Linked DNA regions of Oryzias latipes. The protein of the gene in region 1 interacts with the protein of each later gene in a biochemical or structural test. Links are inferred from orthologs where the notes say so. Each region holds a gene or a part of one and is shown on either strand. Other genes may lie near its edges. The genes, in order: zbtb16 and proheparin-binding EGF-like growth factor.

Evidence for each region.
Region 2: the proteins of zbtb16 (region 1) and proheparin-binding EGF-like growth factor form a complex in vitro, tested with the Homo sapiens proteins (2 studies listed by BioGRID). The link is inferred for Oryzias latipes from reciprocal best matches to the Homo sapiens genes ZBTB16 and HBEGF.

What each region holds. Positions count from the first base shown.
Region 1 is NC_019872.2:25,466,608-25,470,933, forward strand, and holds the start of zbtb16 (zinc finger and BTB domain-containing protein 16), read right to left. Parts: upstream 2,919-4,326; 5' UTR 2,512-2,918; coding exon 1,274-2,511; intron 1-1,273. UniProt on the Homo sapiens protein: Acts as a transcriptional repressor. Transcriptional repression may be mediated through recruitment of histone deacetylases to target promoters. May play a role in myeloid maturation and in the development and/or maintenance of other differentiated tissues.
Region 2 is NC_019868.2:19,603,342-19,607,820, forward strand, and holds the start of proheparin-binding EGF-like growth factor, read left to right. Parts: upstream 1-1,558; 5' UTR 1,559-1,784; coding exon 1,785-1,827; intron 1,828-2,391; coding exon 2,392-2,625; intron 2,626-2,732; coding exon 2,733-2,931; intron 2,932-3,012; coding exon 3,013-3,165; intron 3,166-3,261; coding exon 3,262-3,334; 3' UTR 3,335-3,342; intron 3,343-3,446; 3' UTR 3,447-4,479. UniProt on the Homo sapiens protein: Growth factor that mediates its effects via EGFR, ERBB2 and ERBB4. Required for normal cardiac valve formation and normal heart function. Promotes smooth muscle cell proliferation. May be involved in macrophage-mediated cellular proliferation.

The DNA.
Region 1 (4,326 bases):
AGCCTTCAACTTCAAAATAAAAGAAATCTACATTTAACAAACAAAAACCAGGAGTCTTTACTCCAAATATGGATTCATTGTGACAGTTGTTCCCACAGACCATGATAATAATGCAGAATATTCATTAACTGGCTGTCTAATCTTCTGAGGATGCTGCAAATAAAGTTGTTTTAATGGTGTATTCACATTAATTATATTAATATATAATATATAATTATGGTATTTAGATAATACCAGTTTTTGTGACCGCTTTCCCTTTTTGTTTTTTAAATTCATTGCACCTTAAAAGTCAGACAAAGCTGAAGTTAGCTTCCATTCTTAGCTTCCACTTTGACAGTTATGGGTTAAAGGTAAATCTAAATCACATGTGGATGGTTCCTTCATAAAATCTAGTTTACAAACAAAGTTTAAAGCAGCTGCAGACATTTTACAGAGGGTAAAGATAAACTTTACCCACACAAATAAAATAAACGGATGGCCACTTTGGCCTTATACGTCCGTGAAAATATTGTCTGACAATAAAGCGGTCCGTAGTCTGAAAAAGTAAAAAAAGGTAGGAGACTACTGCTGCTCTGTGATCAATAGGAGGTTTTCTGAATGTGTTGTAAAATTACTCAGCCTTAAAGCTTTATTTATATGCAGCGACTGAAACAGTGCTGCGCAGCTGCCACTCTCCTGTCCTAGAACTACCTCCTTGTCTCGGGTTCAGCACTCATTTCCTGAGCTGACCGTCTACTCCAATTATCAAGCTAATAAGGGCCCCCCTTGTGCAGTTATGGGAAAAGGGAGGGGAGCAGGGTCCTGGATGAGGGAGCTCCACATTGGTAAGTGTGTGTGATAGCTGCCGCCCACATCTTGGAAGGTGTGACTAATGGTCTTGGACAATGTTAAGACAGCATTGCTTCAGCAGTCACCTGGGCAAGCTTGGCAGCTACTAAAGGAGTAAATCTCCGGTTCTGAGCTGGCGACTGCACAAAACTGGGCTTTATGTGACTGTAAATGGAACTCATGCAAGTGCAATAAAACAGAAACATAAAAGGATTGGGTCAATTGTTGTTAAAGTCGATCAAGTAGAACAAAAGAAAACCGCTTCACCCATTTTAAATAGTTTAAGCCTAAAAAGTGACAATATGTTTATAAAACCATTGAAATCGTCAATTATGTAAAAGTGTGTAATTTTAAAATCAAAATGCAGAAGATGCACCTATATGAGTTTTGAAATGGGATAAACTCAAAGACAAAGGAGACAGACTGGAGAGGGAAGGAAGCTTACCTGTGCTGCTCCACGGCTTCATTATCTGGTAGCTCTGCGCCGCAAACATTACAACGTTCATGCTGGTTCCTGCCGTCCGGTTTCATCCCCACTGCCAGCTCCCCGAGCTTGCTGAAGAACTCTCTCTGGATGAAGCTTTGCGGCAGCAGCCCCCCATACGCACTGAAGTCCATGGACATCGCCAGGGCAGGGGACATGGGGAGACCAGAAGCCATGGACACCGGCATGGACATCATGGCATCGGATTTATGATTGACAGGAAGCGAATATAGTGAGGCCAGGTGTTTCTCAGTCATTCCTGCCATTGCTTCCAGCCCCATCTGGCTGACTTCGGCTTGCTGGTCGCCCATGTTGTCATCACGGATATAATGCAGTTCTCGAGCGCTGGTGATCACGCTGCTCCTCGTTGGCGTTCCGGGACCATCTCGGTTCCTGTCCTCTCCGCTTCGCTCTCCGTTGCTCGAGACGCTGGACTCCATATTCTGAGGACTGTCATGTCCATTGCCACTCATGTCCACCTGCATCATCTCAGTCTTGATGTCGGTCATCAGGTGGTGGGAATTAATGTGGACGGGTTGCTCACCACCAAAGCCCTGCTGGAGCAGAGACTGGCCGATGCTCATCAGACTGTCCACAGCGGCTTTGGTGGGACTCAGGTTGGAAACACTGTAGGAGGTGGAGACAGAGGGACTCTGGTCAACCATGCCAGGCATGTTGGAGGCTTGCTGAGCTCCTGACAGGTTGGGAGTCTCCAGGGAATGCTTTTTGGAGTTCTTCGCTCCATTTTGGCCTTTGCGCTCCTCATCGTCTTCTGTGCTCCCATCATTAGCGTTGACATCCACATCATTCTCATCTGAGGACTGGATGGTTTCCAGGATCTTGAGGCATTGCTCCTCCAAGTATTCAATCTCCAGGATCTCGGCTGCATACAGAAGGTCATCCAAGTCCTCCACCTTGGCTTGAAGAGTGGCAGTGTAAGCATACTCCAAAATCTGCTGAAAAGTCTTTGGTGAAAGAAAGTCCAGGGTATAATGCTGGCTGCTGCGGTGGAAGAGGATCTCAAACATTTTGCTGGTGCAGGCAAGCACAGTCCGGTGAGCGTGAAACTCCTGGCTGTCGACCATGATGACCACATCGCACAGAGTCCCAGCCAAACGCATCTGGTTGGCCTTCTGCAGCAGGGCAGTGGGATGGTTGGGGTTCTGGAGCTGGATCATACCCATTTTAGTTAAATCCATGATATTGATGTAACCTGCCAGGCCGACTCATGAGGCTCGCTTTCCCCGCTCAGCAGAGATTTTAGCTGTTTTTGTAAACAAAGTCAAACCTGGATGGAAAAAAAAAGAGAAATGTCAACGGTGGAAACATTTTTTTATTTACAATTCCAAAAATGTATATTGTCCTTTATTTCAATATTCTGCTTGTTTTTATATATGTATAAAAAAATTGTGTGAAGCACTTTGTGTTGTGTTATATTTAAAAAGTGCTATATAAAAAAATGGTTTGATTTGATTTATGTTGTTGTCTAGGACAGTTTCTGCAAAGCGGCTGTATTTTATTAGAAATTCACCTCTTCATTAGAAATTTTGGCATGGAGCAACCCAACCCCCACTTCCTGTCACTCATCTGTGTCACAACATGCTCTCCCGCTAGCTTACTACCCCTCAAAACCCCAACCTACCATTACCTGAGCAACAAATACACTGATTAACATAGGAGCTACATGGCTGTACACTTTTGAGCCCGGTGCCAGCTCGGAGCTAGACGTACATCTAGTGGATGCATCTGCAAGTGGATGCATCAGAGTGGAGCGGAACAGGGAGCTTGTGGCTCGGCGTATTTTCTATATAACAAATACCGGTAAGCTCTTTTTCAAACTGCATTTATTGTCTGCTCCAGATTCACAACAATTTGGATAAATAAATACTAAGAAATGCAATTTTGAGCTTAATTTTCTTTATACATGTCCATCATCAGAAAAATATGACAAGAAAAACACAATTTTCATCAGAGTGCGTCTTTAAAGAGGAACATTTCTTCTAAAAAAGTGTTTAATATCAGACTTCTGCAGGCTTCAATTACAAACACATGAATGGGGAAGAATACTTAGTGGCGTTCTTATATTAGCAGACGGCACTGATTGGATTTTCTGAAGAGAGACAATTTGTTAGCTGTCCAACAGGCTCATCCTGCATACCAATAGGTCCAGCATATGTTATGTTAAAGAGATGTCTTCATTTGCTTATCTGATGGGGATATACACCAGTTAAACAAGGCTGAATTGTAGGCTCTCACTGCGTCTGGGTTCACAAAGACCGTCAGCAGCCTCAAATAGCATCTTACTCAGTATTCTCATCACAGACAGGAGCAGGAGAGCAGTGGCCAAAAAATGGGCGAAAAAGACAGCAAGATGAGGCAAAAACCCACAACACGGCCCCAGAGAGCGCCTGTGCTTGCAAATGTTGAAAATCCTGAATGAATGGGTGTCTGTGGGTACATTTTATAATTCAAGCTAACAGGGCAACATGTTGCTCCACCTCATTCCTGAAACCTGTTTGACCCATAATGAAAGCCTGGTTAAATTAAGATCCGGTCACCAGCATGCACCTAAGATGACCAACAAAACACAGATTTATTTCATTTATTTTATGGAAATAAAAAAAGAGGGCACAGAGTAGAAAGAGTTAAATCCATCCACTGACCCACATTCTGCCTGAGCCCATTGATGGCCTCATTTATCCAGTTCTATGACCAATTACAAGATTTGGCAGCTCATTTGGCTTTTTCCTCTTGATCTGCTCATTAATATGAAGAACATTCTCCCAAACTTCCACAGGAAAGTTTCATATTTATAATATTAATAATAATTCACGCCAAGACGCCTCATAGACCTCTTGAAATCTAATCTACAGGTTTGATTGAGAATTGAGGGGTCAATATGTGCAACCATAAAAGGACTGGTGAGAAAAAAAAGGAAAAATAAACAGCTACATGATGTTTCGTTTGAGCTGTGAGAATGACGGGCAAAATATTGTTCGGAACACAAGGCGAAT
Region 2 (4,479 bases), on another chromosome or scaffold:
AAAGAACATCAGAGATATGTTCTGTGGCTTACTTAGTCTGTGGTATATATTTCACATTGTTTTCATTTAAGGGAAACGCATTTGGGTTCTTATAAATCATTTTTAAAAAATCCCATTTCATTTATTTTTTCTTCTCATCTAGAAATAGAGCAATTTTGTTGGACCTGTACTTGCACTTGTCATAATGAAGGCTTATTATTCACTTTCATTCATTCATTCATTCATTCATTCATTCATTCATTCATTCATTCATTCATTCATTCATTCATTCATTCATTCATTCTTTCATTTAGTGGAGACCCTATAAAAAAACTTTTTGAGGCCTCAGGGATCATCACAGCCAACCAGGTGCCTCTATTAAGCCTCACCCTTTACATCATACTTCTGCTTGTGTCCATCCTCTTCCTCTTGTTTTTTCTAGGCTTCCTTCCTGACACTCAGCCTCCTTTTATCAATGTATTTTACTGTTGGTTGTAGGAAGGTGTCCAAATCCACTCAATACTGTGGGGAACAGCTGGCTATGCACTTGTGTAAACAGACATAAATAAACACACATTAAACCAGTGCACCACAGCTCTACACAGAGAATCTAATTACTCTTTGTTTTTGCTAACTCATCACTTTATATTCTGATATATAGACAGATATGGAAATTTTTTAATTAAGCTTTAAAACTAAATGTAGCAATGTTATAAAACCAATGTCAGTTTAAAGAGATGTGAAGAAAGTTTCTGCTCCTGTCATTTTTTGCAAGCTATTTTATTGTCATTCTTCATCCTTCATCATGACTAAACATAACTGGAGTAACAACTGTGAGATATAAGCCACAATGCCTACTCTGTTTTCTCTCAAGTGAGAAAGAAAAGCACATGCTCTCCGGGTATAATCCAATATACAGTTTTAAATCTTATGACATTCCTGAAAATACACCCCTAGGGATGAGTAGATTCACCCTAAGCTGCCATTCTAAATTTCCTGCACTTCAAATTGTGCAACAAACCTGCTTTGAAGGTGTAATACCTAGTTTAACCAAACAGTGGCGCACATAGATTTTGCATGATTGTTACTAGTTACATGATCATTTTTTTCTAATCAACGTATTTAGTTTCATAGGCGCAGGATTATTTATTTAGATCTAAATAACCAAACATTTGAAAGTATTGCTCAGGTTGTTTGATCGTCTGTTATTCCTGATCTTGCACTCTCATTGGACCTTATTTGGAACTTTGAGACCAAGTTTAATAGATTTTCTGCAGAAATAAGTAAAATCAACCTTTTGTGAATGTAAATATCAGAAGATAATGTTTACCAGGTTGCAGTGTATACTTAGAACTACATAATAACAATGTCAGTAACTAAGATTTCACAGGTTTGAGCCACAAAGGATAAATCCATGCCACTCCTGTCAACTAAGAACAGGAAACCGAGATTATTCACCACGCACTTAGACGGTTAGATCAAAATTTAGTGTAAACAATAAAATGATCCCTCCTCATGATGCCATAATGGACCGCCCTGCTCCTGGATACGCCTACGCCTGCGAGCACATTTATACGCACGGCGTCTGGCACCGGAGTGACCACACAGGCTGTCAATGCAGTCCCGCTCCAACCTCCTCATCCGCGCTGAAGACTCGGGAATAGCCGAAAAACGAACAAAAAAATATCGTAAAAAAAATAAAATAAAACATTAATCAAAAGTTGAGCAGCAGAAGGATTATTCAAAACCTGGACGGAATACTTTTTTGTACTTTTTTATTTGTTTTTCCTAAAACCTTTCCTAACATGAGGACTTTACGCACGGTGCTCCTGCTAGTTTACGCGTTGGGTAAGTGTCATGTAAAAAAGTTGTGTTTGTTGCGCTGCATCATTGTCTGTTTTTATTCGCATGGCTTCCATCCTCTCTTCTTAATATTTGCGTTATAATCCAGCCATAAAAACCTTCAACTTTCTATGAAGTTTTCCCAAACTGCGCGAGTCCTGACTCCTAACAGGGTCGTCTCTGCTCTCTCTATTTTAAACCAGGCTTTATGTAACTAGATACATTTATTTTTAACTCATATTCTTGCCGTGACATTAGGAGAGGCTGTCATGTATTTTGCGCCTGTGTATAAGGCAGTATTTACTAACCACATTCTGACTCACAGGATCTGAGTCCAATTTTAAATTATTAACTAAATATCCCCTTTATCTGAGCATGCGCATTACAAAATAGTCATCTAGTGCAATCAGCAGAAGCCCCAGTATGCCACCTGCTGTATCCTGTGGAGGACATGTTTCAACTTGTCCACAGGGATCCACCCACCTCTTGATGCAATCCAGAGAAATCTTTTTTTTTTCCAGTCTGATCATCTCATTCTGGTGTTTTAACTGTAAACCCCTCTTTTTCCAGCTGTTTGCAAGGTTACCAGCGGTGCAGCTGTTGACCGGCGTGAGAACGACAGGCAGCAGGACACAACTGTCATAAACCTGGACACAACCAGGGACAGGAGGGAGGAGGTGGAGAACTGGGTCCTGAGTGCCACAACAGCAGGAAACCAGGAAGAGGAATATGACGATGAAGCCTACTTTGATTATCTGGAAGAAGATGACGATTCTGGAGACTATGAAATGGACTTGCCAAGAGGTAAGCCTTTATTTGTCATCTCTATATTTTAATGTTAAGAAAAAACAGTTTTGCATTTGTCTTGTCTAATCCACGATTGTTTTCCTCATCTTTGTTCTGATCTTCAGTTGCAATGTCAAGCAAACCCAAGGATCCGTCTTCCATCCTGGAAGCTGAAAGAACCGAGCGCAAGACATGGAAAGGAAAGGGAAAGAAGAAGGGCAAAGGTTTGGGAAGGAAGAGGAATCCCTGCCTGAAGAAATACAAGGATTTCTGCATTCACGGCACCTGCCAGTACCTGAGGGACCTCCGCGCCCCTTCCTGTGTGTAAGTATTGATACTGCGGATTCCCAGACACCAAAACATTGAAGGCTTTTTTTCTTAACGAACTCCTTATCTACTTTGCAGATGTCACCCAAGTTATTCTGGGGAAAGATGTCAGTTTATCACGCTGCCTGTTAAGGTGCCCACGGGGTACAACAGGACTACAGCGTTAGCCGTGGTGGCGGTAGTTCTGTCCTCCCTCTGCCTTTTAATCATCGGTCTTTTATTAATGCTCAGGTGAGTTACAGCAAATCTGTCCCATTTCAAACAAGCAAATGAAAAAACCAACATAAAGTCTGACATTTTCTATTCTTTTCTTGTTGCTATTTTCAGGTTTCACAAGCGGGGCGCGTATGATATAGAGAGTGAGGAGAAGGTCAAATTGGGGTTGACGCCTAATCACTGAAGAGAAAGGTCAGTAGTTGGAAGATTTCCCTAAAAGTTTTAAATCTAGAACTACTTTGTGAAGCAGAAATAAGAGATTTAGCTCAAAATCTCTTTTCTTTTTTTCATTTCAGGCAAAAGTGAAGAACTCTACCTCAAAAAAGAAATGAACTGCAACAGGAGGTCCCCCGGAGGAAACAGGAAAGTCTGTAACAAAAGGGGCAGAAGACGTCTGCCGGACGCTCTGCAAGACAGATGGAAGAGATGGGCGGCTGCAAGTATTCCCAATGGGCTCAGAAGAAGACCGGCCTGTCCGGAACTGGAATACAAGAAAGGCCCTGGAGAAGGACTACAGGTGTTTCAGCATGAAGAATAAAAAAAAAAAAAAAAAAAAAAAAAGAGGAATCCCGGTTAGACTATCTGCTGCCTCCTGGCTGTGTGAACAGAGGAGAAACAAACCTTTTTAAATGGAACTGAAGTTTTTAACAGCCGGATTGACTGAACATTTTTTAATTCAGACATTTGTTTTGGAGCAAGGTCCGTTTTTTTTCTGTGTGTACATTAAAAAATTATATTTATATTTTTAATTTATTTATTTAAGCTAACTGTATTTATGGTGAATTTTTTTTAACCACCTTTAGCTGTTTTTCAATTGTTACTGTTACGTTTCATTTTATATTGGACGATATTTATTTAGGAGAAAAAGGAGAAATGCCACCTTGAACTACTCTGTAGTCTAATTTATGCAATCTGTAAATTTGTCAAAAAGCCTGTTATCAGAAAGCGCTGGGATGAAAAACAATATTTAAATTATAAGAAATTGGTTTTTCAAGAAGTTGTCATTCTAATCTGTAAAAAATTGGGAAAAATGCCAGAAAGCCAACCAGATAGACTCGGTTGTGCTTGGCAACCAGTACAATCACTAGTTTTGTGTTCAAGTTAAAATTTGGGTTGTACACGAGAGAGGGCTGAGCCCTGCTACATCGCTTTCACTCCTTCTTCCTGAAGGCTCTATGTGCTCAAAGGCGCTAAACTGATCATCATACTATCCTGCAACGAAGAGCTTGGTGCTGATAGTAGGAAATGCAAAGACTCAAACTCATCTCTGTTTCTGTGCATCTTTTTTTAAAAAAAGTAAAGTTTTACATTTTCTAGCAAGAACTGAAA